2 linked regions of the Arabidopsis thaliana genome follow. The protein of the gene in region 2 interacts with the protein of the main gene of each other region in a pairwise test. Each region holds a gene or a part of one and is shown on either strand. Other genes may lie near its edges.

Region 1 (5,527 bases), on a different chromosome or scaffold from region 2:
TTGTTGTTCTAAAACACAACGAAATGATTTCAATTAGCTGAATAAATGAGAGAGTAGGTCTTCTTCATCGAATTGTACAGGAGCCGTCCGATTAATATCTGCTGGTCATGATCGATGGTTGACATTTCGTTATATACTTTTTCTTTTCCAATATTATATTATTCCATTTGATGTTGTTGAAGTTTGTAAAGGAAAGTGGATGTGACCAAATTTAATTTGACGTTATACTTATTTTAATTCAGAGAGATTCGCTTTTTTTAACTAACCGAATCCATAAAGATGCAAACCGAATCATAATCCATATCGGTTTAACTTTTCTTCGGTTCAAATGGTTCGGTTCGGTTTGGTTTAAGATTGCAAAGAATCAGCTGGTCATTATGGCAGATGTTGAAGTAGCTATTCTTCTCCAAATCGGTTGTGAACTTAGTGAATGCAGAATCATTCTCTTGTGAACCTGGAGATTTGCAGAAGCTGCAGCTGAATTAACTATTATCAATTTGCATTTTGTGAGATAAAATGGACTTAGCTCGCAAAAGAGCAGAATCAATATGATGTGATATGTTTCTACATTTTAAAGTGAATTTGGAGTCTAATTGTAGTTTTGTAATCTGAAGTGCTAATTAGTTCAAAACTCTGACAAAGAAAAAAAGAGAGCAAAACACTGAATTCATAGTCTCTCTCTGTTTCATGGTTGAACAGCAGAATCAGTACTGTTAGTTTCTTTCTGTTTTCTTTCAGCTTGAAGGGATCTGCAAAGTGATTCAAGCTTGTCTTTCTGTTTCTTTGTCTTCTCCAACAGTTTCTTCAATCTTTCACGCTGTTCAAGGTCAACCAAAAGTGTGATTTTACTGGTTTCATAACCAAAATCTACAAACCCTTAAAGATAGTGAGAGAACAGACGGTTTTGTTTTACCTCTTCGACGAGTTCTATGAGAGTGATATCCGACTTCTCAGTTTTGTTTTTCAAGAATGCGTTTTCTTTTCTGAGTTCTTTGATTGCTTTTGACATCTACTCAAAAAACCAATAGAGACAGGATCAAGTTAATAAGATCACATAAATAGCACTTATGATCTTTCAAAGAACCTCGAAGGTATAAAACTGTTATTACCTTATCGATTTCTTGTTTGAATGTTTCAAACACCTCATTGCTCTTAACCAACGCGTCCTGCATAACCAAACAGCCTTTCACTTTACAGTCTTTTCATATAATATCAGTAAAAAACATATCTTAAGAGAGTATTGTATCACACCCAAAGCAAGCAATCTTATTATCTGTGATCACAGTGCATCGAGAAAACGATTAAGACTTATTTAGGAAGTGTAAAAGGGGAAGAGAGCAGACCTGGAACTGCTGGAATTTATCTCCATCAGAAGTCAGCTGCAACCGCAAATTTTTCTCAGTAGACAAAAGCTGAGAAACTTGATCTGCGTAAACTTTCATCTGAGATTGTTCATGGATGAGTTTCTCCTCGTGCTGTTTAATTTTTAAAGCAGAGATCTGTAGCTCAAGTGTTTTCTGCTTCAACTGTCCATTCGAAAATGAGATGTTGTCAAGTAGACATCGCAGTTAAGCCAATTATTTTGGCTAAATCATGCTTCATATATAGTTGGAAAAAACGAATAATTTAATTACCCTTTGCTCATGTTGTTGTTCTGAAAGCATAAATTGATCAGCCAGGTGCTTCAACTTCGTCCTTAACCTGGAGATTAAGAAACAAACCCATTGTAATTAGAATGGACCTTTATAATATGTTACTGAGCTGATACAAGCAAAGCCGTTTTAAAAGCAATACACATGTAAGAATATAGTTTCCAGAATGTGGGCGAGCATATTCATACTGTATTAACTTAAACTGCAACAAAACTATACATATATAATAAACATACTATAATTTTCCTACTCCAAATGAACATGTTATGATTGAGTTCTTTCCGCTTACATCTCATTTTCTTTGAGTTGCGTGAGGCTTTCATTCTTTTGCTCGTCCAACTTAATGCTCACATCCTATAAACAAAAGAGGATTAGGAAGGTAGAGAGCATAAGAAAAAAATCAATCAAATAAATTCTGATTTTGTTTTTGTAAGTTTTTGATGTTGCAAAAGCCTGCAAGCAATTCATCAAACTTAGTTCTATCAATCTGTAACTTGAAACCAATATGGACAATTTTCTACTTTGTTTAGTTCCAATTATTTCCAAGGACTAAATTTTAGTGTAGATCGGTACTAACATTTGCCAATGTCAGTGTAGAGAGTTTCAGAAAGAAGAAAAAGATATTGCCATGACTGTCCAAAGCATATAGCACGGAAGATTAAAGGAGATAATATCCTAAGAAAATATAACAAGGATCAATAAATGATGTGCATTTAAGATTTGCATACTTAGAAACACAAAACAAAGCTATTATCCAATACTTGTTCCTCTCTAAAACTGCCAATACCGACGGCAAAATGGCTCAAATTTCTATATTCAGCAAAGATCAAAACCCTGGGAAGAATTCACATCGAAAGAAAAATGTGTTCAACTTACCATTATAGCATCCTGGAACTTTGTCGATAAATCCGATCTTAAAGTCTGTCCCTCAGTTGAAACCCTCTTGCATTCTTCCTGTTATACAAAGGAACATTTAGTTTACACACCAAAAGGTTAGTTCCTCAAAACAAGACACACCAAGTAGAGTAAGCAAGAAGAAAGAAAGAACAAACCATTAACATTTTGTTCTGACGTTGTAACTCTCTACAAAGTGATTCAAGCTTGTCACGAACAGTAATAGCTACGGTTAAAAACAATAATGATGAGTACAGACTATAAAGCATTAAACGATGAAGGTAACACAAAACTAGTTTGGTTTTATTGATATCCTATTACCAGAATCTCTTTCAGAAAGGACTTGCTGATACTTGAGCATAAATTCCAAAAACTCTTTCTCTGATTTGAACATATTCTTTGAACCCTTACGCTTGCTCTCAACCACCTCCTGCTTTCAATATCATCAGCACACAAATCAGATACATCATCTTCAACATATATTCTTCTCAAAGCAACAAGATTGAAGAACTCATCAAAATACTGACTTGTTTTTTGGGTTTGAGTGAATCCATTTCCTTAGACAAGGTTGAATTTTGAGTTGACCCTTCTGACACTAACTCAAACAAAAAGCAAAGAAACAAACTTTAGGTTACAAAAGAAGCAAATTCCTATAAAGAAATTAAGCTTCACATTTTCACTCACATGTTTGAGAAATAGGAGGAGAAGCTTCTTTTTCTTTCTGCTCGAACTCTAACTCAAGCTTGATTGATTCTTGAATTAGGTCAGCTACTTCGTCATCTTCATTACCATCAGTTTCACACAACGGAACCGGAAAAGTTCTTGGCTTCTCTGTTTTCTCGATCGCAACAGTTTCATGGTTTGTTGTTTCTTCCTGGGTCTTGGGAGAATTGAGAGGCGGCTCTGTTGCGCCGTCGACGAATCCATCGGGTAAAGAATCGACTTCAGGGAGCAAATTCGAGTGCGGTGACTCCATTTTTTGAGTCTGGATCTGATGAAACCTAATACGAAGAAAACCCAAATATCTTACAACAATTCTGATAGGTAAGTTTAAATTTGTTCTTTCTTTTAGATTCGTTTGTAAAATTTTATTTGGTATAAAATCTTAACAATAAAACCAAAAAAAAGAAAAAAAAAATCTAATTTTGACTAAATTAAATGTTGTTCGTTGTTATTCAATTAATAACTTTAAGTGTTAATAATTGATTTCTTCATAGAAATGTTGAAATAAAGTGTTATTGGTTTTTTAAATTTGAGTATCATCATTATCACGTGACTTTGAAATTCAATTTTATTTGATTAATAAATGTTTGGAAATGATCAACTAAAGAAATGGTGTTACATTCAAGTTTGATAAATTCTTATTGATGCTTCGTTTACACAGAGAAATGTCAATTCGAACCGAAAGCATATAAAAATTTGGTCTCGCAACTTAGACCAACTTCAATAGTAATTTTTTAGTAGAAACTCATACAATTAAAAAAATATATATATTTAAAAGTTAAAAAAATATATATATGTTTTAGAAACTACATGAATTCTATATGCGGGAGGTACTCTTAGTCATTACTGACAAAGATCTCAAATTGGGCTTAACTCGGATAAACATGATCATAAACAAATTTAGTTTGAAAACCATTTTTTCTTTTTTATAAAACTCAACAAAAAAAAGTTAAAAATTTAAGAGGCCATCATTGATAAAACTTTCAACTAATTAATTTTGTCTAAATAAACTTTCAAATTATCAAATTTGAACTTGGTTATTAATTAACTAATGGTCAACGATAATTTTGTTCTGAATAATATACCGTTTTTGACGACATATTAATATAAACTCTAAAAAATAAATTAAAAATTGTATTTTAGGATTTGTAATTAAGATTTTTATCTTTCCTATTATGACTAACACTTGTGCATTCCGAAAACAAACGGAATTCACAAAGTTCAATTACTTACACCTTTTAGTGTGTTTTTTCTTCTATAATTGCAGTTTCCTATATGTTACTCTAATTTTATTTTCATTGGTTAATGTAACAATAAATTTGACATTTAGACAACACTTTTTTTATTGCACAAGTTCAATTAATTACATCTTTCCACGTGGAAAAAAGTAAATTCGTCAAACACTAACTTAATTATCCTGATCAAAGAAAGCAAAGGTGAAGAAGAAGAGGTTGTACAAATTCTGAAACAAGCGTCTCTTAAAACAAATCAAAGGTCTAAAATCGTAAGGTGGTTTTGATTATTCATCGTGATCCCGTACGTACACCACACCATTCTTACTTCAACAAATCAGTCAATGCAAAGATGGCAAACATATTTTGATCGATCACTGGCTCGATTTCTCTTGCACCAAACGAGAATGAGTGTTTCCCATGCATCCTCCACCTGCATAGCACGGCGCAGTCACATTTGCTAAATACTTCCTCGGCAATGCGATTCCGAACCTCTTTCCTCTTCTTTCTTTTTTCTCCTTTTTGACAATGCTTCCGTCCTATAGAAATACAAATATATCATTGTTAGAGATCCTCATAGATCAAATAATCAATAATGTGAATTAATGTGATTGACCACCTCTTTTATCTCTGTCGTGACGCTTTCGGTTTCCATCGACTTTCTCGCGTCTTCTACATCTTTTTCTGCAATAGTGAATGGATAAATTGTTTCAATAACGAAACTACATAATATAACAAGCATTTCATATATAAACATATATATGTCTCTAACAATGCATGCATCCATATACAAATACAAATAGTAAATGATTTATACATGTATATATGTGTGTTTGTATAAGAACATATGATTTACCTTCATCATCATCATCAGAAGGAACATCGACGCAATAAACCCTAAAGCTTGGAGATCCAGGACCAATCATTCTCTCATCAAAGTTGTTGATACTCCCTTCATCAACATCATGATTCTTACCATCATCTCCTTCCTTCTTAACATTGATGACGACCACATCATCATCATGA
Region 2 (3,444 bases):
TCGTTATCACAATGTGCAGGTTATAAGAAATCATCATCAAACAGAAGAGCAAATCAACCCAGAGGTGTGTTTTTATAAAAGCTTATGGCTCAAGGCTAAGGCAGAGAGATCGTTGATGGAACATGAAACATTTCTTTCAAAAGCAAGATCTTGAGCAATTAGTGAAGAGTTATATAAGGTGACATCAGATCATCCTAACTTTTTTACTTCATAGCAACAATGTCAAAGATTGATTTCTCTTTCTATGAGGTCCTATTGAGCGTTTGCTTTCGATTTTGCAGGTTAGCGTGTAGAAATTCAAGCGGCTGAATCGAGGCGGTGTTACTAGCTAGAGAAGTTTTGCTAGCAAATGTATGTGTAGGTCGAAAAGAGGGACACTCATGTCAATTCTAGACAAAGACTTGAATCTGTATTTTGTGTTGTAGAAACTTGAAATACTTTATACACAAATCTAGCTTTGTTTCTTGAACCAAATTTGTATTTTGAAGCTACATTTCAATGAATATATGTAAAGAGATTACTCATCAATCTTTCTTGCTAAAGAGTTAACAACACTAGACATAAACGTCTCAAATTATAGATGTGAAGCAACATTGTTTATGGCTCAGAGAAAGGTAAAAAGAAATAGCCTCAAAAAAGTGGAGAAACAGAGATGTTCGAGAAAATTGCTAACCGAATCAGAAATGAAGCAACAAAGACGAACCATCACAAGTCTTTTGCAACTCACTAAAACCTATGTAGTGAGTTCCATAATGGCGGAAACAATATCTCCGTTACTCTCTTTAAGAGCCTTAACAGCCTTGGGCCTCGAGACACCGGCTTGAGTCATCACAAGATCAATGTCCTTGGCTTCAACACCAGTCTCATCAACATCTTCATCGTCTTCCTCCTCTTGTGCAACCGTGGCTGCTTCAGAACCATCAGTGTTGGGGATCATAGACGCAACGTCAGGCATCTTGAACCTCTGAGCAGCTTGTGCTTGTAGCTGAGAGCTCATGTCATCAATCTTAGCCTCACCGAATATCACATAGGTCTCAGAGTTCGGACTCTTGAACACATCCGGCTTCGAGATGACAAACAACACCTAAATGATACAATAACATACAGAATCAAACATCGCTACACAATAATGGAATACAGTCAATTAGGTCATTACTTACATTCTTTGATCTCTTGATAGTCACTCTGCTAACATCAGTAACAGGTTTCATTCCGAGTTTCAGCATCGCCTTTCGGCTTTTCTTCTCGCTTCTACTTTGCTTGGAAGCCTCATTCTCACCAGCTCCTTCACATAAACAACAACAACAACAACAATAACAACATCAAAACCCTAACAAATGTCATACATAGCAAAACCTAGAAAACCTAATCCAGACTCGAAACAGATTGATTCAATCACAAATCCACAACATGATTCCAGAAACATCCCTAAACCACCAAACGAAAACAATCAAATCGAGTAAAAGAGTAAAAATACCATCAGCAATCTCATCGTCGTCGTCATCAACATCATCATCGTCTTCGTCTCCATCTTTCACATCCTCAACAACAACATCGTTCTCCTTCTGCTCCATAACACAAACCAAATCAAAATCGAACAAAAATCGATTCTCTTAAAAAACAAATAGAGAAGAAGAAGATTACAATACCTGGAGCTTCATCTGCTCTTTAATGGCATCCATAAGAGCCTCCTCATTCACTTCCTCAATAACTGGACCTGGCATCTTCTTCTTCTTCAACCTCTTATCTTCTTCTTCGGAGGAAAAGATAAAAACGAAAACCCTTGAAACAGCGCAGCGAAACTAACCCTTTTCTCAGTTTCAGTGGCGATGAATATAAAGAGGGGCGTAAGATAGTGATTTGGGCTTACCCTATCGTTTAATGGGCCTTAGAAATAGTTCGTTTAAGTTTTATTAATTAGCCCATTAGATAATACATTAGCCCCAAACTATTTGTTTTCATAAATATATTAGCCCAAGTCCACCAATTCTGATGTGGTGTGTTTTCCATTGATAACTAAAAAAACAACCAATTTTAACGCATGAATATCTAGGTCGTTTAGTTTTTTTTTTTCTATTACAGATTACGAGAGTTGTTACATAGACAATTTTATTATGCATAATTTCTTTCCCTTATTAGATCCACGATATACGACACCTCATTCTTCTTCTCCATGCGCTTGATGGATACCAAAAATATCTTCTCTGCGTATAATCCTGGCGAACGGCTATAATTGTACATCGTTGTAGATCTCCTGCACACTTGCCTCAATTAATCTGCAAATCTATTAATAAATTGCAGTAGCTGGGATTCAAACTCCAAACCTCTTAGTATATAAGTATTAATGAACCCTTGATCAACCATTGAACCAAGGAGGCTTTCTGGGTCGTTAAGTTAAGAGACAAAATTTAATAAATAATTAACTTAGAGACAATTAGTTTTTTTTCTTTTTAAGGTATATTGACAAAAAAAATAGATTTGACGTTGGAAAATATTTAAAAAAATAATAATTATCTCTGCTTTTTTGCCTTGCGTATGGGACAATACGTATATTCAATTGACTTTTTGTGCAAGGAACGAGTTGAGTGCATTTTAAAGGTTAAAGCTTGTCATGTGAAATAATACACATACAACAAAAAAGAACGAGTTAACATGCATATTAGTAACGGCTAGACTATTAATTATTGTTTTTTTTTTCAGATTGGAGAAGTTTTAACATACAAACAGATATTATACGATTCTAGAATGTGTACACGTGAAAACACATATATAAAGCACTAAAAGGTCAATATTATACAAGCAGACAATTTGTTAATATCTGTGTGCGATTAAGTTAGTCTAGCCGTTATTAAATGCATGTCAACTCGCTCTTGCTCGTTGCATGTCCGTGAACTCGTTCTATCACGCAAGGCAAAAGCTGAGGCTGTTTTTTTTTTGAACTTTTTCAACTTCATATCTATTTATTTACTTTATTTGTCTTTTTACAAAGATAGAAAAACTAATTGTCTCTAAGTTCATTATTTATCAAATTTTGTCCCTTAGCTAAACGACCCCAATATCCATGCGTTAGAATTGGTTGTCTTTAGTTTACCAGTGTGCAAGTGAAAACACACCAACATACAAATTGGTGGACACAATTATTTAGGCTTATATATTTACGAAAACGAATTATTTGGACTAATGTATTTACTCCGATGGAAAGTAATGGAACCTAAACGAGCTATTTTTATGGTCCATTGAACGATAAGGTAATCCCAAAGGACTATCTTATACACTTTTTACAAATCAATGTTATAAATTTTTCTAAGATCTGAATTTTGTTTTGACAAAATATGATGAATTCAACAAAATCCGGTGACCATTCGATAAAACCGCCATTGGAATCATAAGTTTCCCGAAAGATCAATTAAAAAACCTTTGTTGGACAAGCGAGCAGTGTAGTAA

Evidence for each region. Proteins that work in one complex are often made in the same cells at the same time.
Region 1: the proteins of AT4G10480 (region 2) and AT5G50840 interact in a two-hybrid assay, tested with the Arabidopsis thaliana proteins (one large-scale study listed by BioGRID).

The regions. Positions count from the first base shown.
Region 1 is NC_003076.8:20,683,898-20,689,424, reverse strand, and holds AT5G50840 (alpha-taxilin-like protein), read right to left. Parts: upstream 3,608-5,527; 5' UTR 3,523-3,607; coding exon 3,231-3,522; intron 3,142-3,230; coding exon 3,074-3,141; intron 2,980-3,073; coding exon 2,868-2,979; intron 2,773-2,867; coding exon 2,705-2,772; intron 2,607-2,704; coding exon 2,529-2,606; intron 2,007-2,528; coding exon 1,942-2,006; intron 1,702-1,941; coding exon 1,635-1,701; intron 1,527-1,634; coding exon 1,344-1,526; intron 1,167-1,343; coding exon 1,110-1,166; intron 1,010-1,109; coding exon 914-1,009; intron 818-913; coding exon 686-817; 3' UTR 503-685; downstream 1-502. Other genes in the region: AT5G50830 (nuclear polyadenylated RNA-binding protein), read right to left, coding at 4,876-5,040, 5,118-5,185, 5,358-5,527.
Region 2 is NC_003075.7:6,477,356-6,480,799, forward strand, and holds AT4G10480 (Nascent polypeptide-associated complex (NAC), alpha subunit family protein), read right to left. Parts: upstream 1,817-3,444; 5' UTR 1,725-1,816; coding exon 1,650-1,724; intron 1,566-1,649; coding exon 1,478-1,565; exon of another isoform or gene 1,286-1,477; coding exon 1,161-1,285; intron 1,085-1,160; coding exon 734-1,084; 3' UTR 521-733; downstream 1-520. Other genes in the region: AT4G10470 (uncharacterized protein), read left to right, coding at 20-154. UniProt on the Arabidopsis thaliana protein: May promote appropriate targeting of ribosome-nascent polypeptide complexes.